Linked DNA regions of Drosophila melanogaster. The protein of the gene in region 2 interacts with the protein of the main gene of each other region in a pairwise test. Each region holds a gene or a part of one and is shown on either strand. Other genes may lie near its edges.

Region 1 (11,989 bases), on a different chromosome or scaffold from region 2:
TTATTGGCCAAGAGCTTATCAGTGAATTTAGATATAAACGCCAGTCTTTGTTAACACACAAAACTCATTCGAATCGCACGAAGGCAAGTGTTAAATGACTCAATGATTCATGCTACGATATATGCCATGGAATAGATACAAGTGAAATGTATCTTTTTGGCGACTCGAGACCTGATCACTTGTGGGTCACATCCGATTGGGATGACCCCCAATCCGAAACTGCCAAGTTCGCTTTTCGCGCTCTGAGCTCCAGATTTGTAACATGTGAAATGAATAAAATCGATTAGTTGACACAAAGTTTTGTCACAGAATGCGGCAATCGCACTCAAAATCAATATGACAATAATCGAAGACCAAAGATGGGATGCGGTTGTTATTTCCGAATTATCACGCATTATCAGAAATGCATAAACAGAAATCTGTTCCGAGTCATCGAATGGGTTTGAATCGGTAGGGATTTGCTCCCGTTTCCCCATTACCCCGATATTCCGATCTTGAATCAAACAGCTGCTGCTTTCGTTTCCATCTCCTCCCAGCTGCACTGCCGCATAAAATCTGGCGGAGAAGGGGATCCGGTGAACCGGTTTGCAAGGTATACAAGCTATACAAAACAATGTTTCAACGCAGCATCAGCACACAAATGATATACATGGTATACATATGTACGTATGTGTGATGTGTGCACATAAGTGCTGTGGTGTTAAAGGCCGATCTAAGTCTCCGAAAGTCGCAGGCAAACACGAAATGTAAAGCCGGGCTCGAACAAAGGAGTCCAAGAAAATAGCAAGCCCGGCAAAACGTGACCACGGTGGGATCTACTCCGGCATCAGTCAATAATGATGTACAGCCAGCCGATTAAGAGCCATCAATGTCACTCCCTTCGTGACATCCAGGTCATCATCGGGAAATATGGGGCATTGACCATAGGTAACTGTGTTATAACTTAATTAGGTGCATGGCTGCGGAGCAGTTCCCACTGGCGAAGCCCCTACCTTTCCCAACTACTCGAAAACGGAAAGGGAAATCTCCCGGTCGAGGAATTTGCCCAGCTCCTGATAAGACTGCTCGGGCTATATTATTTAGACATTCGTCACAGGTATAAGATTGATTATAATATGAACTTTCAGAAGCGCAGATTCGCAACCTATAAGATACAATCTATACATTGGTGTAACTACAGCCATGCCATATCTGGATCTACTTTCCAAGCAAAAGGATTGCATCCACACAGTTAATTATGAATAATTGATTTAAACAATTTTCATTTCAATCCCACTTTGATAAGCTGTAGCCCATCAATATGTAGCTGCAGCTACATTTATTGCATTTATTACATTTGTTGTTAACTCGCCGCTTGGAACAATGCTTTTGTTTTGATCAGCTCGGATCGGATCGGATCAGATGGGATGGGATCGGATCTAGAGAATCGAGTGGATCGCTTGGATGGACGGATCAATGGCAGATGTGCATATACGACGGCACTCTCACCATCGCCATTCCATCATTCCATTTCCACTCAATTGTGCCGCTTTATTGTTTGCCTCCGCCTCCGTCTGAGCAATTGTACCTTGATCTTTTCGCAAATCTGTGCATTAAATGTACTCGCATTTAATTGTCTTTTGCAGCAGTGCGAAATGTGGAGTAAACTGCGTGCTACATTTCGCTTATGTAAACTGGCACTTAATGCGAACGGTGGATGATAATTGCATGGTTTCGACATCCATCCAATTCGACACCATGTCTTTGGTTAATCGGAAGCATCATCTACGCTGGATTAGTTGCTATCCCCATCGATCCTCCTCCCTTTACATGCCCTTTAAAATTAACAATCTCACCGTGCAATCGTGAATAATCCATGTGAATATGACGGGGTTAGACGACAAAGGTTGATCGATCTCCCCCAGCTTTCGATCAAAGTGCACATTCAGCTGGCGTGGAACCCGTTTCAATAAGCTAAGCTAAATATTTTGTATCGGCTAGCAACTGGTTGCCAACTGATTCCCACTTTTAGCCACGCACCTTGCACAATCCATCAAATCTGCAGACAAAGATCCAACTGGCTAATCATCAAGAGAAGAGTTTCATATAGAGTTAAGCTTTTAGGATGTAATAGAAAACTTTCAGTGAATCCGAAATATATATTTTTATTATATTACAGTTGACAGGCTATCCTAGAATCCCAGAATGGCGACACCGCGCGAGCAGTTCTTGTTCGGCAGCGACAACGGAGTGGCCGGCCTCGGTCTGGGCATCGAGATCGGGGAGGTGACCTCCAGTCGCGTCTATAACAGCACCACAGTGCCAGTTGGCAACAGTGGCGGATGGCGGAATGCCCAGTCCAGTGTTACGCCACCACCCATACCCACACCGCCACAGGTGAACTATACCAATGGGAATGAGCCCAGCAAGCAGCCGCCACTGGAACCTGTCGTGGAGGAGGAGGTGCACTTCGACACCGATGCCCTCAATAATCTGCCAGCTCGCGAGCCTGTGGACATGGAGTTCAAGGAGCTGTCCCTCACCGTCAAATTGGGCTTCAATCGAGGTGAGCTACAAGAAGCGAGTTGTCGCTAACTAACCATTGCGATCGCATGATCTAAGATATGGCTCGATAAGATTGGGGCAGCGGAGAACTTAAAATTAGCTGGGCATTTATATATGTTTTACGATCAGCGGCTACTCTTTGAACGGGAATGACCTTCAATTCTTTATATCCTACCAATATAGTCTCATAAATAATATCTAAATTATGACTAGACAAAACTACTGTTATAATAGAAGATAAAACATATGCTAGAAAGTCTTTTCATTAATAGTATTCTAAGGGATACAGATATACTCAGATAAAGCAAATCCTTCAGATACTATATTTCAAATGTTTCTTAAGTACGAGTGCCATAAGATAATTACATCCGAACAAAGTTTACTACAAGGTTATTCTTTTCGGCAGTGCCTCCACATACCAATCACTTGCCAAACACTTGCTTGCTAGTTCTTTAACCAACTTGGTTTTCCATTGATTAGATAAGAGCCGATCACTCCGCTTATTCCGATCACACCCCCTTCCCGGTTGTATATATTCAATGCCAGTTAGTCATTCATAAATTCCCTTTCCGTCGAGTCCATAAAATGATAAGAAATAACTTGCCAATACGATAGTTAGTAGAGCATTTGTAATTCGATATGATGGGTTTGGCTTTAGAACATTTTGCTAATTTCAAAGTTCAAAAGATATCGACATTGTTTAGCCCCTGGTAACTTGATTAGAACTGCACAAATTTTCAACCCGTGGCGGTAATTAATTAATCAACCTTTCGGTAGGTGGATATATGGCCATTGCTATCGGAATGTTAAATTGGTGACTAGAAGTGCTAAAATGTGTAATATTGCTAACATAACAATACGATTACTGTGAAAGATTGAGTTAATTAAGCTAAACCCTTTTTCCCTATATTTGCAACTCTTTTCTATGGCTTGATACGTATATCACCTAGAATTGTTTACTGATTTGAATTGTTTTCGAGTTGTGTAGTTAACAGGTTATTCACTGAAGTGGATTAATGTAGATTTACTCGAGATCTTACCTCAATAGCCGTTTAATTCAGCCAAGTTATAGCCTGCAGATGATTCATGAATATCGTCGCTCGTACGCGTACTCATGGGTTCTCCATTGGTTCCCTGAACCTTGATACCGACGACCGTATAAAAAAAAAACACACTGAATGTCTATTAAGTTTTTATGATCATATTTTACGATGGCATTTAAGTAATTTCGCAATTTCTTAGGATCCAAGGAAATCTTGCACAATGTGTGCGGAAAGTTCCCAGGCAGCCAGCTGATTGCCATCATGGGACCTTCGGGTGCAGGAAAGTCCACTTTGCTAGATGCCCTTTCAGGTTTCAAGACGACCGGAGTGGATGGCTCCATCTTGCTCAATGGTCGGCGACGTGATTTGCGTTAGTATATGACCTCACTTAATTTATTCAATATATCCAGAATTCATGGTAATCCCTCCCTGCAGCTTCCTTCCGTCGGATGTCCTGCTACATCACCCAGGATGATCGTCTGCAGCCGCTGCTGACGGTAAACGAGAATATGCATATAGCCGCCGATCTTAAACTGGGTCAGACAGTCAGCTACGAGGAGAAGGAGAGCAGGGTGAGTGGGGTGATCTTCACTTAAAGATCATAGTCATAAATCGCGGATTTACCCTTGCAGATCGAGGACATTCTGCTGCTCCTTGGTCTGTACAATCACGATCAGACCCTTACAATGCGCCTGTCCGGTGGTCAGAAGAAGAGGCTATCCATTGCCATGGAGTTGATCAATAATCCCACTGTGATGTTCCTGGACGAGCCCACAACGTATGAGCCAATATATCCATTTTTAACAAACTGAGGAATGTTTACATCTTGCTTTTCTTTCTTTCAGTGGCTTGGACAGTAGCTCGTGCACAAAGGTCCTGGAGCTGCTCAAGAAGTTGACCAGCCAAGGACGCACCATTATTTGCACCATCCATCAGCCGACGGCCAAGTTGTTCCAGATCTTCGATCAGGTCTACGTCCTGTCCGCTGGCAACTGCGTCTACCAGGGCAGCACCCAGAAATTGGTGCCGTTCCTGCAGTCGGTGGATCTGCCCTGTCCGATGTACCACAATCCAGCGGATTACAGTGAGTCCAGCACAGATCTCTGAGTGAATTTACACTAATACAATCCTTATTGCTCCAGTTATCGAGCTCGCTTGCGGAGAGTATGGATACGACAAGGTCGACACCCTTAAGCTCGCCACTGAGAACGGAAGCTGCCTGACTTGGTTCCATAATCCCAGTGCGGTGTTGCGCGCTGAGGTCTTGATGAGAAAGTATCCCATACCAAAGAAAACCAAAAGCCGATCCCTGGAGGACACCAGCTACTCAAACCAGTGCTCTGTGCTTTTGCGACGAGGTTTCATCAAAGCCAAACGAGACACGACCATGACGCACTTGAGGATCGGAGTCAACATAGCAGTGGCCGCTCTGTTCGGAGCTATGTACGATCACACGGGACGTGAAGGATCACGAGTGCTCGACAACTACAATCTTCTGTTTGCCATACTGATGCACCATTCCATGACCACGATGATGTTGACTGTTCTGACTTGTAAGCTCACTTGAGTCGATTGCGTAGACATATTAACTTATTTGAATATCATTTGACCAGTCCCCATGGACATCTCCATATTGATCAAGGAGCACTTCAATCGCTGGTACTCACTCAAAGCCTACTACACTGCCATGACACTCGTGGACCTGCCCATATCTGTGCGTAGCGATCTTTAATATCCCATTTTCAATTTTTAACTGACCCTTTTGGTTACAGATCATAAGTTGTTTCTTCTTCACTGTCATCGTTTACCTTTGGAGTTATCAGCCGATGGAGTGGATCAGATTCTTTATGTTCTTCTCCATTAGTTTACTGACCGTCTTTGTGGGACATAGTTTTGGTTTGATGATTGGTGCCTGGTTCGATGTGGTGAATGGAACGTTCTTGGCCCCAGTGCTAACGATTCCCATGATGATGTTCGCCGGCTTTGGAGTGACCCTGCGTGATCTGCCAAGCTACTTAAGGTGGGGCAGTCACATATCATACTTAAGATATGGACTTGAGGGCTTCATATCAGCCATTTATGGCTTGGATCGAGGTACCTTGGCCTGCGAGGAGGCGCCGTACTGCCATTACAGGTAATTAGATTCTGCTAACTTTTCTTTTTCTCAAGCGCTAACTCTGCTTTGTGTTTATAGGTATCCAAAGAAATTCTTAGAGGAAATCACCATGAGGGGTGATCAGTTCTGGAACGATGTGATCGCGCTGGGAGTCATGATCCTGGTTTTCCGATTTGTGTCCTACGTGGTGCTGAAGGCCAAGATCAAGTCGATCCGATAGGACAGCTGGGGGAGACACACCTGTAGCCCATTCCTTGTATTATACATTAATTGTTGACCATTATGTTTAGTGCTATTAATATTTAAATAATATGTACAAGTACATAAAACACTGTTAAATAAAGCTACGATTTGTAACTAGCCTAGAAGGCCGATATGGCCCCATATTATATCACACAATTCAGTTGCCCACGCCTTGGGCAACCTTGGATTCTTCTCCTGCATTTGCTGCCGGTTCTAGGAGCTGGCGGAGTTCCTTTGCATTGGTGGCCATTTCTGTTGAGTTTAGCTGAAACAAAACGATGTGTTAAACTGTGTTTATATAGTTTCAACTCTCTATAATGCTTACTACTACAACTTTTCGGCCAAGGGATTCCAAAAGTCTTTTCTTAAGACGTATTAATGAAGTCGGTTTCTTGCTGAATTTCAGAGTCTGTTCTGCGGTTAGCAGTTCAACAAAGTACACACTCTCCTGGGCACCCATTGTCTGCACTCGTAAGCTTGGCAAATTTATTCCGACAATGGGACACACCACATCCACGCCCTCCACATCCGCGTCGCCACTCAGCTCCTGGGCGTATTTCGTCAAGTCTGGGCGATCTTTTAGCAAATAAGCTGGTGCTCCATCAAACTCTTTAAAAGCTCGTTCTGTTTTAACTTTAGCAATTGAAGGCTGCTCAATGGCCACAGCAGATCGCAGCACAATTAAACGACTATCCACCTTGGGTTGGGCTCGCTGGCGTTTTTGGGCAGCTTTTAGTTCTTCAGCTGCATTAATCAGATCCTTAGAGTAGTGACCCAAAGTGCACAGAGAGAGGCAGGTGTCAACAAGGTTGTCAGGGAAATATTCGTACTCCCCATGATCCAGCTTGCGCAGGGCGGTCAGTTCCAATTGTCTGATTTCCTCAGGAGTCAATGCACAATTGAGTTGAGCGCTGGCCCACAGGAATGTGGCCAAGTCTTTGGAGCGCAGGTCTCCAGGCTTGAGAAGAGTCATGAGTCGTTTTACGACGACAGTTAGGCATTCATTCTGATCCCAAAGCTGCTCGGCAAAGAATGCAAAGATATGGGCAAGTCCTCGGGGTTCAATATGGGTTATCTTTACAGGATCCAGACAGATATCTTGCAGGTGCTGGCACACTCGTTCATCTTTGACTTGCTGCAGACGCAATGCCTTGACAAAGGAGACCAGCAAGGCATCGCTTCCGGTGTTTATCTCCAGATTTAATATGGCATTAACGAGTCTTGCTTCGTATGCCGTTTTCGCCTCACCGGTTACCAAAGTTGAGGTTTTGTACGCCGCATTGCTGACCACGGCAAGGTCCATTTCATTTAGTTCAGGCAAATGCGTTTGTAGATGCTCTTCCAGGAGTTGCTGGAATTCCTCAGAAGATTTGGCCTGCTTCTTTTGCAATCCCATATAGAAGCACACCTGAACGAATCGCTCCTTGTTGCCGCGAAAATCCTCCCTGACCAGTCGTTGCATGGCTGCTTGGTAAAAATCCAATCGCTTTATCCAACTTGGTATGAGGAATAGAAAGGAGTAGAGCGTCTCGAGCACTGTGGCGGTATCCATCTTGTCCAGCTGTTTAGCCGCATGGTTATCCAACGTGTTAAGCGCAGTCACATACATGGGTACAGCGGCATTGGAGCGATAGCTGGATGCCTGGATGATCAGGGCGGGCAATTGGGCTGCATCCGTTTTCTCTACCGTCCGCTGAAAGTACCGGTCGTCCGTGATGGGAAAGAAGTCAGAGTACCGGACCGTCGTCTTGGGCAACACGTGATCCGAATCCCTGTAGCGCTCCAGTGCAATGTGCTTGGCGAAGCGGGTCAGCAGTGTGCCGGTCTCATCGCTGCTCCGCAATACATCTCTGGGCGTAAGGGAGGCGTAGGTTCTGATGGGACATCCCAAGTTGGTGACGCCGGCAAAGCGGCGAAGCAGGGCGTACATATCGGATGCACTTCTTCTCAATTTATGTAATGAATTTACAAAACAACGTGCAAGTCCGCAAGCATACGTTAAATCTGCATTCGCTTTTCAACACTGACTAATTTCCTCTCACACGAAGTGAACTACTAATAAGCAAAAGAGGGAAACAGCTAGAAAAGCACCACTGTTATTGGAGACTTTCGAGCACTGTTCAAACACCTGTTTCGGTTAATTGATAGCAACAACATGGAAAAGGCAGCTGGTTTTGTTATTTTTCGCCGCCTTTGTGGGGAAATACAATACCTATTGCTGAAGGCTTCCTACGGCTCCTTCCACTGGAGTTCTCCCAAGGGACATGTGGACCCAGGCGAGGATGATTTTACCACTGCCCTGCGAGAAACGAAAGAGGAAGCCGGGAAAGTGCACAACGATATATCTTTTAAAACATGCTTAATTTCAAAAATGCTCTCATAGGTACGACGAGAAGGATCTGATCATATACAAGGACACTCCGCTGACCCTGAATTATCAGGTGCAAGACAAGCCGAAGATTGTTATTTACTGGCTAGCGGAGCTGCGGAATCCCTGCCAGGAGCCCATTCTCTCCGAGGAGCACACCGACCTCAAGTGGCTGCCCAAGGAGGAGGCCAAGCAGTGCGTCGGCTTTAAGGATAACCAAGTCATGATCGACAAGTTCCACCAAATGATTTTAGATCAAAACAAACCAATGTGAACTGAAAACAATTGCCGGTCTAATGTTGGGCAACACAGAAATTAAAATAAAAAAAGCACAGAAAATACCGTATCAAAAAAAATACCAGAATTATGTCAGGCCAGTATGCCAACGTTGTGCACACTGTTTTAAGGCATCTGTGAAAATTGCTCGAGAAATTAAATTCGCTCTCATTGATTTGTTGTGGCAGCCAAGTTAAGCCCTTCGACTAGCTCGAAATCTTATACAATCACACAATCCAGCACCATGGGCTCCCGTTCACGTACACCCAGTCCGTCGGGCAAGCGACGCCACCATAAGAGCAAGCACAAAAAACGCAGTAAGTCCCACCACGACCACGAGCGGCCCAGCACAAGAACGGATAGAGACAAGTCCTCGGAGGTGAACAACCATGGACGACATCGCGAACGGGACAGGGACCGCGAGCGGGATAGACACCGCAGCGACCGACACACTGAGCGCGACTACCGTCACTCCCCCTCGATCCTGAAATCCCGAAAACGCTCCAGCTCGTCGAGCAGCGACAGTCAGTACTCCGAGCAGGAGTCGCAACGTAGCAAACAGAAGCGCAGCCGCTTTAAGAAGCTGGATGAGGTAAGTGGATAGTGTCCATAGTCTGTCATCTTGAGCACTCCATGGGTACGCATTCCATACACGCATTTTTCCGGGATGGACACTCATGCTGCGCTTATGATACAACTGTTTCGATGAAAGCAACTAAACTATGATCTACCATTACAGCAAAACCAGATGCAGGTCGAACGCCTGGCCGAGATGGAGCGGCAGCGTCGGGCGAAGGAGCTCGAGCAAAAGACAATCGAAGAGGAAGCCGCCAAGCGCATAGAGATGCTGGTAAAAAAGCGCGTCGAGGAGGAGCTAGAAAAGCGTCGCGACGAAATCGAACAGGAGGTCAATCGACGCGTTGAGACCGCCAAGGCTGAGATGGAGCGCGAAATGATGCTGGAGCTGGAGCGGCGGCGAGAGCAGATACGCGAAGAAGAACGCCGGCGCGAGGTAGGTGCTCGTATTCAGATTCCGCTGGACGACTGCTGCTATCACTGTCAGAAACACGTACACAATGCCACATTTACCGTACACTTGAATAAATCCAAAACAGCAGTTCAAACAGTCGTCTCCACCACGTCACGCGAAATCGATCCGGCGGCGCTCTCAGTCGCGGCTCACTGGCTGTTCATCCATCAACCCATGTCCCATCAGCAGCCTCCCCGTACTAGATTGCTTGCATAACCCTGGGCCAAGGGCGCCCACTAACCGGGTACATCACTAACCAGTCGCAACTTTTCAGAGCCCTCCCCACATGATGCAGCAAGCTAAATGCTGTGAGCCGAGATGAGAACGCCACGGCTCGTTTTGCCCCTTTTTTTCTTCTTGCCAATAATTTTGTAACTTTTTATTTTTCCTACCAAAAAAGCCAAAATGACGACATTGCCAAGTGTCGCATGTGTCAAAGTTTTGATGCCCATTATTGCAGACTTATTGCATACTCTTAGCTTCATCTTTTGTTCGTTCCTACCCACATACTGTATCATTTTAATTTTTTTGGTATTGGTTCTCGTAACTCGTTGTTGTTGTTATTGCGCGCAAATTCCGCTTCAGTAGGCCCGTGCAACGAACGTGCTGCTCTTGTCCCGTATGCAAGTGGGTGTGTGTGGCTGTTTTGTGATCCTTACCCGCAAAACACTCGCGTGCACTCCACGTTGTGCCGCCATGCCGGAAGTTGAGCAAGCCTGCTGCCGAGCGATTGGTCCACGGACGCATTTCCTCCACACCAAACAATAAATATCAAAAGAATCAAAGAAATACCAAAGCCCAGCGAAGTGGTATGGTGTCCCTAAGTTAGTCCGGGTAGTTAGGCACTCTAGTTGTGGGCGGGCCGACTGAGTTTAGTCCCAACAGTACGCTGCATGCAAATCAAATCACTGCCACTTTTGATAACGGGTGAGTTTCCTACGCCAGCGATGTGTGATGTTGCCCAGCAGCCGTAAGGATAACAGGCGAGAAAGGACGGCGCACAGACCCAAAGACTCAAAGACTCCCCCCAGGGTTTAGCTCTATAGAACTCTGTCTGTAAGAATTTTTGAAACCGGATACGCATTGGATTGCCACTTATTTGTGTTTAAGCTTTTTGTTTTTGCGAGCAAATTACATATGTACGTCTGGAATAGCGAAAAACTCCACAAAAATAATCCCAAATCGAAAATCTGCAAAAAAAAAAAAAAAGAAAACCATAAATTAACACAAATTTAGCCTATTTACTGGAATAATGACCTATTTAAATAGTAAGTAGCAACAATAAAAAAAAAAAAAAACCAAATGAAGACCAACCATTTAGCAAATACTAGTACATTTGTTTATGTTGTGTGCTCCTTTATTGTAATAAACTAAAAGAACAACCTACTTTAAACATTCTTATTAGACACTACTAAATGTTTTACTTTCTACCGAAAATATTCTTTGTAACTTATTGTTAAACATAAAACTAGATTTTAACTGCCTTTGCAGCTCATCAAGCAAAAAACTGCAACCACAAACGTGCGTCGAATTCGTCGCACAGTTTGCATCGCTGATGTCAAGAGACTGTTTATTTCTATAATTAGCATTAAGCTTCTCGCTAAAGGATCGATTTTTGTTATTAATCGTCTTCTTGTTTGGGTTTTATAGGAGGATGAAAAACAAAAACGCGAAGAGCTCGAAGAAATTTTGGCCGAAAACAATCGCAAAATCGAAGAGGCGCAAAGAAAACTGGTAAGAATTCATAGCAAACAAACCATATTATTATGATCATAATTGATTTCTTTTTTCTTTAGGCCGAAGAACGGTTAGCAATAATCGAGGAGCAGCGCCTTATGGACGAGGAGCGGCAACGCATGCGCAAGGAGCAGGAGAAGCGCGTCAAGGAAGAGCAGAAGGTCATATTAGGCAAAAACAATTCCAGGCCCAAGCTATCGTTCTCCCTGAAACCGGGCGCATTATGAGGAGCGTAGGCATCAGTCTGGTGACCGTCGCACCTTTTCTTGTTAACAGCTTTTGCTTTTTTTTTTACCTCAGTGGCTATTTGCCTGCGACACAGACCATGCACTCGTTTTCATTGTTGTAATTGTGTTCTATATTATTTTTATTATTTTAAGGACGAGCTGTGGTGCTGAGAGCAGGCAAAGCACAGCCAATAGATTCAACGTTTTCAAAATTGCCAATTACTGAACACATACGGCTCTATATAGTACAATACGCTAGCGATTTACTTAACCTTTTCTACATAAAGAATTCATATGTGAGACAAATGATTATGTGTAGTGCGTCGTATTGTTGTCACAGCTGAACGATTAACAAAAAAGAAGAAAAAAAAAAAAAGAAAACCAAAAAGATGTCAGTGAAATACA
Region 2 (13,542 bases):
GTTTAATTCCGTAATCCAAGAAACGGTAACACTTCACACTTGGTGATTCAGAATTAGTAGATATTTCTTGTCTGTTTATGGCCCCTGTGAAGACAGGACTCGAATTAGCGTAAAGGAACGACCAGGAGAGCACCAAGATGACCTCGTACGTGCGTGCCATGTACGACTTTACCGGGGAGCCGGGCTCCTCGGAGCTCTCCATCGCGACTGGCGACGTGCTCTCGGTGACCCGGAGCGATGTGGGTGAAGGCTGGTGGGAGGGCAAGAATGCCCGTGGCCAGATTGGCCTCTTCCCGGCTGCGTACGTGGAGGTGATGTCGGCGGCCGAAGCCCAGAAGCTGAGCGCCAGTGGAGCGACGTCGGTGCCACAGGTTCCGGATCCCTTCGCCTCGCCCCCTTTGCCGCGTTACGATCAGACGGCGGATGATGATGGCAGCAACTGGGATGATGAGGACGATTGGAGCGACGACAATGACACGTACTCGGAAATTGGTCCAGGTGGCCAGAAGTCTGCGGGACAGTCGGCTCGCGCTGGCGGATTGTCGCATTCCACCAGTGACTACGATAACAAACACCTGCCCATCGCGCCCAACGATGATACCCAATCACTGGCCTCCGTGGCTGGTGGGACTGGTGCTGCTGGCACCGTCAAAAAGGGCATGTTCGCCAAAAGTTCCGATTCATATATACTCGGCTTGTCCAGCACCAAGGAGAAGATACCCGAATGCGAGATGGCCTACATTACACAGGTGGAGGACTCGATCTACCAGTGGACGCAGAACCATTCGCCCTACTCCGTTGTGGTGGCCAGTCCCAAAAAGGAGTCCAAATTCAAGGGGATGAAGACGTTCATTGCCTACCAACTGACGCCTAGCTTCAACAACATATCCGTAAGTTGGCCAACCCTGATATCGCCGTGATTAACAACACAATACGATAAAGCTCCGACCGTTGGCGCATGAGTGTGTAACTACGGGTGCAATATTTTGTTGATAATATGTGTCTGTGCTGTGTTCGCTACCCTCTGCCAAGGGTAATTTGGGCTGGTTCATGTGCTCACGAGCAGATGGAATGGAATAAAGAAAGACCAATCCTTTGTTTATCGAAACTCCGCACTAATTGCCGGCCAACATTTTCCAACTGAGTTGACCTTAAAAGTGACCCTTTTTTGCTGAGAAAATTTAAATGGAGATCATATCCATTTCTTTAATTGGTTTGTTTTATTAAGACTCTGAAAATTGGCTAAATTTATCTTTTTATTTGTTAAAGTTTTAATACTATTCAAAGCTATAGTTCATTTCTTATTAGCTACTTAAATAGTATTTTGATAATTTCGATCAACTTTATTCATTACAATAATGAGAAGCATAAATGCTCGACATTACTTTCGAACTGAAATCAAAGCTCTTTGTAAAGTTCTTTCAGTCCATTAAAATACACATACAAATAGGTAGAGCATTACAGAGTCGTAAAAGCACTTAAAATTCTTCTTTGTGGGGGCAATTCTGACCAACTGGTAGCCAGCGGCACTGCGATGATTGCTTGTGCTTGCGAACCGCCACGGGGAATGACTCAGCAACGAGCTCTGACCCCCCGAGCTCCGGGCTCCTCTTTGCGTGACCCAATCACAATTAATTGGTCATATCTAATCTGGGTTTCCCTTTCGTTAGGTGTCACGTCGCTACAAGCACTTCGACTGGCTGCACGAACGTTTGGTGGACAAGTTTTGCCTGATTCCGGTGCCACCGCTGCCGGACAAGCAGATCTCCGGCCGCTATGAGGAGCAATTCGTGGAGCATCGACGTGTGCAGCTGCAGGAGTTCGTCGACTGGGTGTGCCGCCATCCGGTGATCTCCAAATGCGAGGTCTGGTACCATTTCCTCACTTGCCGCGACGAGAAGATCTGGAAGTCGGGCAAACGCAAGGCGGAACGGGATCCCTACATGGGCGTCAACTACTGCCTGGCCATCTCGCCGCCGGACAAGAACCTGCTGCACTCTAAGGTGGACGCACAGGTGGAGCTGGGCACCCAGTTCATACACAGCATGGACGTGGCAGTACGCAACCTGAACAATATATCCAACGACATGGCCAAGCGCTCCATGTCGCAGAGTAAAAAGGAGTTCCAGCGCATTGGCGACGGACTCTCCGACCTGGCCAAGGCATTGGCCATCGATGAGCGGCGTGCGCCCACCCGAAACGCGGTTCCGCTCTCCGAGAGCGTCGGCCGCATCGGTGGCATCTTTATCGGTATTGGACAGGCCTTTGGCGACCAGCCAAAGCATGATTGGATTCCCCTCTCGGATCGACTTCACATCTACAGGTGGGTTGACGTCTCTATAAGTGATGGGAAGCATAGCACATTTCGTTTCATTCATCAGTAATTGATTAGCTGACTGAAAATGGGAATTCCACGACATGTGTCATTTCTATACTAGAAGTTACAATAGGCACATACATATATGGCTGAATTACTCACAATTAAAAATTTTCGATAGATTACTTTCTTGTAAATTGTTTTTAAGGTATCAAGTTTATTTATAAAGAACTCAAATTGTTTACTTTTAAGCAATGAATCAATGTATAGTTTCGCGAGAAAAATCGATTGTTGGCCAATAGTTTATTTTAGATTATTGTGGTTCTTACGCTGACTGACCTTTAGTTTAACAAGAAATATATACATAGATATACATATGTATAATATATATATAACTTCTAGAGAATGTGGTAACTTTCCGTCGCTATTTGTTTATAGAACGATCTAGAAGCATTATCTAATTCTTACTTTCACTTTTCCAAATAGGGGCGTTCTCAACTGCTTTCCGGACATCTTCTCCACGCACAAGGGTGCCATACAGAAGCGAAAGGACTGCGAGAAATTGGCCGGCGAGGGCAGGATGAATAATCCCCAGTTGCACGACGTTAACCGGCGCACAGATGTCGTCTCCTACACGGTGCTGGCCGAGCTGACCCACTTCAAGAGCGAGCGGGATACGCATTTGAAGCATACGCTTAAGAATTTCATTGCCGAACAGATTAAGTTTTACCAGGGCGTGGTGGCGCGCCTGCAGGAGGCCAGCCGTCAGATTGAGTAGATTGGCCCTTGGCCCATGGCGACGACGACTCATCGCTGAAGAGATCGACGGCTGGGAGCACAAAGAAACCGCACCGGGCACACACTTCCACACAGAGATACATAGCTGAAAACATTCGCACGCGCGCATTTCAAATGCCTTCGAAAGGAACTCTTACTTTAAGCGTGGTTCTAACTAAATGTTAAACAGAAAAAATATTACATAATGTTGTTTGTAAGTGAAAAGTTGCGTATTTATACAGAAATTAACTTTTATATGCCTATTATACACTGAACTTGAGATGCAAATATAACTATATTTATACAGAACCACTTGTGCAAGTGCATCATCTGCATCATAATCATCATATTTGGATGATCCAACCAAACCCGCTGAATTAAAAGTCTCGGTGGCGATTTGCTATTCTGTTGCCTTTATCAGCGAAATTCTCTAAAAGGGTTCTCTTTATTTTTCCATTTTCATGTTCATGCTTTTGCTTTGCCATTTTCGCGTTAATAAGTTTTGTGATTCTTGTGTTTGTTTGGTTTTTTTGTTTTTTTTTTTTGTATCTAGAACATAAGTGTTAGATTGCACATGTTAGGGATGATGATTTCATAAATAATCAGCGTAATAACTAGTAAAAACAAAAAGAAACACATTTCGGAATGGATACAAAATCGGTTGTTTGCCTTTTAGCGCTGCGCTTTGTTTTCGTTTGATTTTTGGCGAGGTCATAGGTGAAGGTGAAGGGTCCAAGGATTGTCCTGGCATTTTTGGAGGATAGTCGGATGTGGGTTTCCAGGGATGGGAATCGGGTTGTGGGGGGATCACTAAGTGTAATACATCTAGATAAAAACGCTATATACAGACACACGAGTTAATAATAATAATAATAATATAACGCAGCTTGAGATAATAATAATAATAATAGATTTTGGTTAACAATAATACAATAATTAGGTTTTTTTTTGCTTTTGCCTTCCGCTTTCGCGCTCTACATTATTTTTTGTTTACTTGTCGTGTTTTTTTTTTGTTTTTTCCTCTTTGTTTTCTTTTCATATTTTTTGTGTTTTTCTTTTTTGTTAACAAACTACCAATAACAAATTTTTACTAATTCAATTTAAGTTTTTTTTTATGTTTACTGCTCTCTGCTTGTGTTTACCACCTTGTTTGTTGTTTATAAATTATTGTTGTTTGCGTTCCGGTTACCTTGTTGTTGCTGTTCCTGTGTATTAAACTAAAGGAAAATCATGGTTTATCCTTTACCAATTCCTGGCGGTAAAACGGCCTATACGATGCCTCTAAATATATAGTTATTATTACACGCAAGTGTTACATATGCCTATATGTTTATGTTTATGCGCTAAAGTGTCTTGCGCTTCGGTTAGCTGAACCGTGAACCCACCGGACGACTCCTAGCCGTAGTCACCGCCGAAGCGTCCGTGCTTATTGCTACCGTTACTGCTCTGGACCGCTGCAGCCGCCGCCGCCGCTTGGGCAGCCTTCTCCGCCAGCAGCGCCGCCTTCTGTTGCATGTAGGGATTGAAGTGTTGCATGTACATGGAGGCAGCGGCTGCCGCCGCATAGTTGTTGGCATAATTGTTGCTCCTTTGGTTGCTGCTGCCGTTGTTGGCGCTCCATTGATGCTGCTGCTGCTGCTGCTGGAGCTGCTTCTGTTGCTGTTGCTGCTGTTGGTGTTGCTGTTGTTGGTGTTGCTGCTGCTGCTGATGTTGCTGCTGTTGATGTTGCTGCTGCTGTTGTTGTTGATGCTGCTGCTGCTGCTGCTGTTGGTGGTGATGTTGCTGGTGCTGTTGCCAGTAGCTCTGCTCCGCCATATAATTGCCGGCATCGCTATCCTTTTGATAAAGATATGAATTCAGCAGGGATTCGCGTGCGGCGGCAGCGGCCGCCATCTGATTGTTCTGGAACATATTCTCCATGGCCGCTGCCGTTGGATAACAAAATTTATTGCTACTATTGTTGCTGTGGTTTTGATTGTTGGCTGCTGGAAGTTGTGGTTGCTGTTGCTGCTGTTGCTTGGCCGAGGCGTGATAGTTGCTGTAGTCCTGCTGCTGATGCTGCTCCTCATAGCTGGCCGTCCTTGTTCCCGATCCAGGTGCTGGCTCCTTTTGAGCCCGGCTTGACTGTCATTCACCTGATGCCGTCACCGTGGTCCACTGCCATGGACTATTGTAGCCTTGTTTGGGATTGCTGAAAGGGAACGGATGTGGATTAATTTGAACAGATGGGAAAGATGATTAGGTTAGGAACATCACTCACCTTCCGAAGAGAGGATGCCACAGTGCCGAGTTGGCATCCATGCCGGCTGCTGCCGCCGCATCTGCAAGATTTTGCTGGTGCTGTTGCTGCTGCACGTCCTGGGCGAGCATATTGCCCCGCTTGCGCTGCTGCTGTGCGGCGGCGGCTGGGTGCATTTGCTGCTTGGCCTGCTCGAGGGGATTATAGGTGACGCAGGCTTTACTGGAGCGTAGTGTGCGTCCCGTACCTGCGTCACCCTTGGCCTGATCTGGAACGGCCTTGTGCATGGAGGGACGCCCTCGCATTCCGTCAAAGGGCACATTGAGAAGTGGAACCACGTTAGCCTCCGGTTCCAGCAGATTCGAGAGGGATTTAATGGTCAGTCTGGGTTTGTGCTCCGCAGGAGCTGGTGCCGGAGGCGCAGCGGTGGCCACCGGCACAGGCGCAGCGGCGGCTGGTGGTGGAGCAGCTGTTGTAGTTGGAGCACCGGATGAAGGCTTGGATTTGGTGAAATTGCTAATGGACTCCGTTTCTGTATCCCTTCTGGGTCGCTTGTGCTCCTGATGATGATGATGATTTGAGGTGGCAGCTGCCGATGATGTGGATGATGCCTCCTTGGCCGCCTCCCAGTTGAGGAACTGTGGCAATTGCGGCTGCAGCAGCTTTTGCATGAGAGCCAGCTCTACGGGATTGGTGAAGCCATTAAAGGAATTTGGTCCGCTGGCTGTACTTTGAGGAAGAGGTGGAGGCGGAGCTGCTGCAGGAGGCGGCACGGGAGTGGTAACCTTGGGCTGTGGCTGCTCTTCCGTCGACTTTTGTTTCATACAATGCTTGTACAGCTCGTCCAGATGCTGCAATCCAAATTGGTTGTTGTACAGCGGCAGGAGATTGCTCATAAACTTTCTTTGTAGTCCCAGCGGATCTTTGATCGTTTTGAAGAACTCCTGCGACAACTGGCCAAAATATGGTAGCCACAGCATCTGTTGGAGTAGCGCCAGTGTGGTTGCATTCAGATCCGTGGAGAGACTGGAATCTGCCGGAGATGGTGGTGTTGGTGCCACTGGGGCAACTGCAGGCGGTTTGGGTTGAACAGGCACAGGTTTGGGTTGTATCTGCTTGGGACTGGGACTTCTCGCTTTGCTTGGCACCACGATCACTGGATCCGGGTCTTTTGTCACCTTGGCCGCATGCTCCGATTCCGTTTTGAGGATGGCCTCCAACTGCTCCATGGTCACTACCAGAATGTTCGGATTCTGGATGATCTCCGGATAGGCAAAGGCCTCGGGAAGACGCAACTCCGGCCTGGTTGTCAGCAGCAATGGAATCTCTCGGGCCGGTGAGGCTAAAACTGCTCCGAGGCGATCCTTTGGCACGAGTATGGGGTCTGGGACCTTCCACTGCGGATTGCTGATCAGCATTTTCAGTTGGGTAAGTGGATCCGGATCCTTGTCCATCTTAATGCTGGCCTTGGGTCGCTTCTTCAGCGGCTGGCTGGAATCCTCCTCCTCCTCGTCGTCGATAACGACCGTTTCGAGTTTGCCATCGCGGCCAGCTTTGCCCAGATCCATGGGCTCTGCCTGTTGGGGATTGTTGTTAAGCTTGAGGAACTGCTCCAGGATGAGATTTTTAATGGTTTCCGACGTCGTCTCCACCTCAGCAGGTATGGAGTTGGCCGGCAGCTGGAGTTCCCGCTCCGGTGACTTGAGTATATCCGAACTTGAGGTCACCGCACATTGACTACGCGATTCTGATGGTGGGCAGACCTCCTCGCGTTTCTTGTAGCTCAAATCCTTGGGCGTCTCCTCGACTACGACGGATTTTTCCATTTCCTTTTCAGGCGTTGGTGTCGGCGTAGGCGTTTGGGTCATTTCCACAGTGGCTGGAGTGGGCGGTTGTGGTTCCGGCTCGGTGGCCACAGCTTCATGCTGCTTCTCGAACGCCTCGATGCCCAGGAAGAGCTCTCCGTTCAGGCCCTCGATCTCACCCGCCTCATTGAAGGACAGACACTTGGGCGCATCGTCGTTGTCCATGTTGAGTATGCGGGGCAGGTCCTTGTCGAGATCGGGTACACAAAACGAGCTCAGTCCGTCGCCGGAGGCTGAGGAGTTCGGCGGATTGGTTCCGTTGCCAGGGCGCGTCTCCTGGACGAGATTGTCCTCGCAACTTCGCTTGACCAGCGAGTCGAGCAAATCCGCTCCACTGCTGCCGTTTTCACTGCTACAATTCTGTAGCAGATCATCGGCATCGTCCAGCAGATCCTTCAGATTCTTAGTATTCGCATCGAAACACTCCACGGCATCGTTTCCACCCAGTGGCTTGTCCTCCGCCTCCTCGGGCAGGACATCCTCCTCAGGCAGCTGAACCAGGGCAAGATCTCCTTTCGGCAGAAACAGACCCGTCTTGGGACACAGCTGCATTTGCAGCGGCGAGGGTGTGGAGCTCTGATATGTGGGCGTATTGGTCTTGGTGGCCTTGGTGGAGGCATTCGTCTCCTCGCTGTCAAGCAGCCCATCGAAGCAGGGCGTGGGCGCCATCTCCGGCTCTTTGGCAGGTGGCATCACCACAACATCTTCGAGTACAGTGGCTAAGTGGCCGTTCTGCTGCTGCGCAGCATCACTTTCCTGTCCCTCTTCCTCCTCCTCCTGCTCTTCGATCTCGTCCGGCAATTGCGTGGCACTATCATCCCAATCCTGCAACAAAGTTTGCCCGATGGAGGGCATCTGCTGCTCCGACTGCTCCTGCTCTCGCTCATGATCCTCCGCCTGTTGCAACTCCTGCTCCTGGTGCTGTTGCTCCTCCTCCTCCAAACGCTGCAGATGCTGCTCGCGCTTGACCTTCATCAGTGGGGCGGCGGAGCCATGGAAGAATTTGACTATCCTAGTTGAGGAAGCATCTGTGCGCGGCATAGATCGCCAGCCATTGGTCGTCTTGGTCAGACGAATCCTATTCCGCTTGTCGTAGTCCTCGCAGCGCACCTCCACGATGCGGGTATCGTCCTGTTTGACCCACAGGAAGATCGGATTGACGCTGGGCGTCGTGGGCGAAGTGGCGGGTGCGGCAGCGGGCTTGGGTATTGGTAGAGAAGCAGGAGTGACCGCTGACACCACCTCCTTTTCCTTCTCCTGAACAGATGGAGCCTTGGGCTTGGGACTAATTCGCTTGGGTGCCGCCACATTGGATGCAGTGGCTGTGGATGTGACGTGCGTTTTGGTTTCCAATTTTACGGCCGCCGTTCGCGGCAAGGATTTGGCTAACGTCGGCTCCTCCGGCAACGGAGGATTGAGCGCGGCTATTTGCGGAGGAATTGGGGGATTCAGTGCGGGAATGGGTGTGATAGCTGGGGCAGCAGCCGGCACAACGGCTTCCGAGCTGCACTTTGGTTCCGTTTTAATGTCGCGCAGCACATTCTTATTGATGCGCGGCGTATTGGCCACCTTCAGGTGTCCGAACTTTTGCTTTGCCCTTGTGGCCTTGCCCCGTGCTCCCTTCCCTCGTCGCCGGGTGGTCTGCTCCTCGAAGACCAGGAATATATCACGGGCCACTCTCCGGCGCTCCGATTTTCGGTGGCAAACCGGCGGAGCGGCCTCCAGTTCCTGCTTGATGATGCCCTCGTTATTGTTGTTGTTGTTGCTGTGATTATTGTTGTTATTCGCACTCGCCTCCGGCTCATCCTGGCTAGCAGCAGCGCATTCACTTGGCCTGCAAGTGTTCCGGGGCATTTTACGGCCGTATCCGCTAGTGGTCCGTGATCCGTACTCTCAGATCCCTGGTCATTTTCCCATCATCGCTGGCTAGTCCACACTCGTCGCTCGTTTTTTTTTCTTTTTTGGCCTTTTGCTACTGCCCCCCGTATCCGGATTTTTCGCTCTCGCCTCCCCCGCCCCCTGCCCAGTTCTGATTGGGAGCAGCGTTCTGATTGGACAGCGGCCCAGGTAAAAGCCTTCGCTTTGGGGCTTCTATCTTCAGTCCGTTCGCATTGCCGCCGCACTTGTGCCGCTCCAGCGTTTCTAATTCAGTTGACCGTGCTATTTAACCGCATTCAGAATTAACTGCCCTGCTACACTGTGTGTTTTACGTTGACAAAATCAATGAATTTTTGTATGTATATGTTTTGGTTTGCTTTCGATATTTCGATATAGTTTTCTAAACAATCGCCAGCGCTTAATGACGGTAATCGTATGAGCGTAATCGAAAATTGGGGCTGCAGTCGGAAATTTCCCCAAATACCGATAGTAATAACGGTCATATTTTTAAAATTTTTCGAAATACGCAGTTTTGTAAATTTTAATTTAAATTTAAAGAATGCTGAATATGTTAATATGACTTAAATTTAAAATTACTAAAATGTAGTTTAAACGAATATATAGAAGAACAATTAAAAAAAAACTTAAAAAAGAAATATGTGTTTTTTAATTACAAAAACAAATATCTTATTACTTTCCCGCCCGACTTGCCAATCTGGGCTGTACAACACTGATATTTGTTTAACGGTAAATTGTTAAGCTTGTAGTCGTAGAAGAAAATTCAAACAACAAAAAATAACCAAGTTTGTTAATTTTTTAAAAAGTAAAAAAAAATTTAAGTTACAAGACCTTAAATTGATTTTATAATATATATAGTTTGTTGTTTTATTCTTTATTATATCCCAAATTCCACTTATAATGTTGCATTTCTTTAAAATGAAATATGTCTCGAATAAGTAATATTTAGGAAAAATAATCAATTTATTAAATGTGCAGGTAATCTTAAATTCCTGGACAGCTTGAAAAATCAATTGGGGTCACCAGTTGCATTGTTTTTTCCGCTTTTCATTTTAGTAACTTCCTTGTTACTACGAGCAACGAAACAATCAATCAATAATGGCCAATATCCTTTGATTTTTGCATTGGCCAGGATGCAGAAATCCGGCTCCGACGAGGGAGCCTCGGCTGCTGGACAGCCGGAGGAGACACCAGCGGCTCCCTCCCAGAAATCCATTGATTCCGGCAATGGCGCCGAGTTTCAAATCACTTTGAACGAGTTTCTAGAGTTTCTAAAACTATCCTGTCATGTGAACGATATGATTACGAAAGCCGACATGGGAAAACCACACAATAGGGAGCCGATACCGCCGATGGAGGGCAGTGCGGTGTCAACCAAGAGAGCTACCAAGAAGGACGAGTTCGACTTTGCCGAACTGGCGGACAATCCACTGGTCAACGAGCTCCTGGGACTGCGACGACCCTCGAGGAGCTCCAACGAGAGTCGCTCTAGTTTGCTACAGGATGCGAAATCCAGTACATTGCGCTCGGGGCACAGCCACCACGGCCGCTCTTCCCGTCCAGAGTCGACCTATCGGGGATTGCATCCCAAGCTTGGCGAGCAACTGGATGCGGCCATTAATGAGGGAGTTCTGGACTCTGTTCTGTCCTTTATATGCCCGGTCCCAATGCCCACACAACTCCAGAATGGCAAAACTAAGCCCAAGCAGCTGCAGCCTCCGAAAGAGCTTCTCACCCAGACATCGGCCACTACCACTCCCTATACGAATCCCATTCCAGCGGCAGCTCCTCTCACCTCGGGAGCATCGAAATCCATGATGGAGATAGGCCACTCACATGGGCCTCTGCCGGCAGCCACTCCCTCGGCTCCTTGCCTGCAGCAGGCTCATCCCGGAGGAGATGCTCTACATTCGGATCAGATCACCAACAGCATGGTGCGGGCTATGATTAAGGAGCCGATTCCGAAGCCTGGTGCAATGAACGCCGGCAGACGCAAATCTCTGCTGCTGGTCAAGGATAGCAAACATGCCAGGCAGGAGCGAAAGGAGTAAGTACCATGTATTTACAGGATATATATGTAACTCAAATTGTTTAACAGGCCGGAAGTGGTGATCCACGTCTGCGACGAGGTGAAGAACACCTCGAAGGACTTCACCTGCCCGCAGCATTTGCTGGTGACCAAAATGGGTTACTTTGCGGACGTGACTGCCGGTCAGAGATTGGAGGAGATGGACATATCGGTGCACTGCGACATCCTTATCTTCGATTGGCTGATGAAGTGGATCAAGCACAGTGCCCAAAGCCAGGATCTTCCGGTTCCCACTCAGAGCACCGGTCCCCAGTTGGATGGCAACAATGTGGTGCCCATTCTGGTGTCGGCCAGCTTTCTGCAGATGGAACCTCTACTCCTTGAGTGTTTGGCCTTTTGTCATGCCCATCTCAGCGAAGTTGTACGAACATCCACGAATCTGTCCTGTCTGAATGATGCATTGGTCAGCCGACTGGCGGCCATGTTCACGAATCTCGAGCTGGAAATGGTCAGGGATAAAAAGGAGCGAGTGACACCACGTCTGTGGACCAAATTGATTCAGTCCCTCTGCGAACCGGATCCGGAAGCGCTAAGGGGACACTTCTACAGCATGTCCGGTCTGTTCCGTTGCTCCAGGTGCTTCAATTGCGTGACCAACACTATGAAATCCTATGTGAGCTGTGTGCCCAGCAACATTCGACTGAATCGCTGGGGCCAATTGATGAGCCACCACGTGCGGGACACGAACTGGGATCTTAATGTCTACATCGTTCAGCTCTTCAAGGAGCTCAAGTCTTGGCGCAAGGTGTACTGGAAGTTATGGGGTCACTGCCATTACCTGTACTGCTGCTCGTGCGAGGCTCATTTTCCGGTCTATCAGATGCACTGGTGTCGCTTCCATCCGGAGGCACCCAACTTCCTCGGTCCCGTGGGCAATGCTGGACCCGCCGGCCGCTTCTCCTGCTGCGGTCAGCAGGCATTCCGCTACGAAACGCTGCCGGGACCAAATGTATGTATATATATTTCCAGAAACTAATACTACTGCATTGAATATTCGTTACTTTTTTAGGGCTGCCAATTTCGCGAGCACAGTGTCCTGGTGGAGACGGATAGGGAGCGTGCCATCCTGGCCATTGCTCAGTTGGTGGGCGAGAACTACGCCTTGTGCGAGCAGCCACCATTGAGGATTCAGGAATTGGCCGCCGCCGGCGAGATCAGTCCCAGTTGGCAGGGTATCTCCCTAACGCCACAAAGATGTCGCCAGGGACTTTTGCCCCAACTCTGCATGGACAGTGTGCTCAAGAGAGGTGGGTATGTGTGCTTGAAGGTAATGTGCTCCGTACTCAACCCTGCTCCATAGTGACCAACCATCGTGTGAGCCGTCGGATGCGAGGATCTCGCTATCAAATGGACACCAGCACCGATTCGGAGACGACGTCCACCAGCGAGGATGATGCTCGATGCCTGCGGCCACGCATGCGTAACGTTCACGATGACGACGAGGACTACAGTACGAGTAGCGATGGCTGCGAGTCGGAGCATCGTCCTCCACCAAGGAAAACTAGAGGCAAAAAATCACGAAAGCGGTAAGGATTTTGAAATATTGAATGTATATGAAATAATAATTACCTGGAACTGTTTGGCCAGTCCCACCGATGTGTCGGGTCGTTTTTGGTCCGGCGAGTTGTCAGCGCGCAGCAACCAGGATCATCAGCGCGACTTCGAGGAGAAGATCATGAAACAGGTCGCCAATTATGTGACCAAAAAGACCGGAACGGATCAGTGTCTGGTGCAGAATGCCCAACCGCTTGGTGGCTCCTACGTGCGACTCGAGTCCGAATGGAAGGAGATGCTCAAGCAACGTCACAGCCATCACACGATCCAGGGAACCAATGCCACTGGCACATCCGTGGCTCAAAGCAACAGCAGCTGCCTGGGATCCGCACTTGCAACTGGTGGCTCCTCCGTGTCCGTCATGTCCAAGCAAAAGCACAAGTAGAAATTCGTATTATATGTGTGAAGTCATTAACTTATTGGATTCGCCAGCAAGCATCGTAGACCAAATATTTAGTGACAGATTATTAGTCAAATATTTAGTGCAAACCATAAATATTCACATTGAAATGTAGAAAAATTAAATGAATATGTAGAAGAATATATATATAAATGATTATATCTGGATGATATCGATGGGTTCTATTTTACTTTCACGTTTTGTGCAATTATTTGGTTTGTAAATCACCAAGAATTTGGATTTTATTTCAATTTTGGCATTAGACAGAGCCTTAAAAAATGGATTAAACAAGAATTATAGTAATATACATTACATATCTCAATCAATCTAGGGTAAATTACATTTTCCATTCTTCAGTCTAGGCATGATTTACAAAAATCTATTTTAAGTTTGCAGCCTCTTCTT

Evidence for each region.
Region 1: the proteins of CG16711 (region 2) and CG4619 interact in a two-hybrid assay, tested with the Drosophila melanogaster proteins (one large-scale study listed by BioGRID).

What each region holds. Positions count from the first base shown.
Region 1 is NT_033779.5:9,934,851-9,946,839, reverse strand, and holds CG4619 (uncharacterized protein), read right to left. Parts: upstream 7,978-11,989; 5' UTR 7,877-7,977; coding exon 6,272-7,876; intron 6,212-6,271; coding exon 6,104-6,211; 3' UTR 5,924-6,103; coding exon of another isoform or gene 5,782-5,923; 3' UTR 5,722-5,781; coding exon of another isoform or gene 5,360-5,721; 3' UTR 5,302-5,359; coding exon of another isoform or gene 5,201-5,301; 3' UTR 5,141-5,200; coding exon of another isoform or gene 4,730-5,140; 3' UTR 4,672-4,729; coding exon of another isoform or gene 4,433-4,671; 3' UTR 4,366-4,432; coding exon of another isoform or gene 4,220-4,365; 3' UTR 4,160-4,219; coding exon of another isoform or gene 4,023-4,159; 3' UTR 3,958-4,022; coding exon of another isoform or gene 3,787-3,957; 3' UTR 3,782-3,786; downstream 1-3,781. Other genes in the region: CG5853 (uncharacterized protein), read left to right, coding at 2,185-2,545, 3,787-3,957, 4,023-4,159, 4,220-4,365, 4,433-4,671, 4,730-5,140, 5,201-5,301, 5,360-5,721 and 1 more; Arglu1 (arginine and glutamate rich 1), read left to right, coding at 8,835-9,182, 9,330-9,602, 11,271-11,354, 11,417-11,584.
Region 2 is NT_037436.4:9,700,281-9,713,822, reverse strand, and holds CG16711 (uncharacterized protein), read right to left. Parts: upstream 9,493-13,542; 5' UTR 9,053-9,492; coding exon 5,355-9,052; intron 5,286-5,354; coding exon 5,222-5,285; coding exon of another isoform or gene 4,490-5,221; 3' UTR 3,494-4,489; downstream 1-3,493. Other genes in the region: SH3PX1 (SH3 and PX domain containing 1), read left to right, coding at 138-890, 1,671-2,323, 2,804-3,095; CG6761 (uncharacterized protein), read left to right, coding at 10,228-11,141, 11,193-12,132, 12,193-12,430, 12,484-12,709, 12,771-13,122.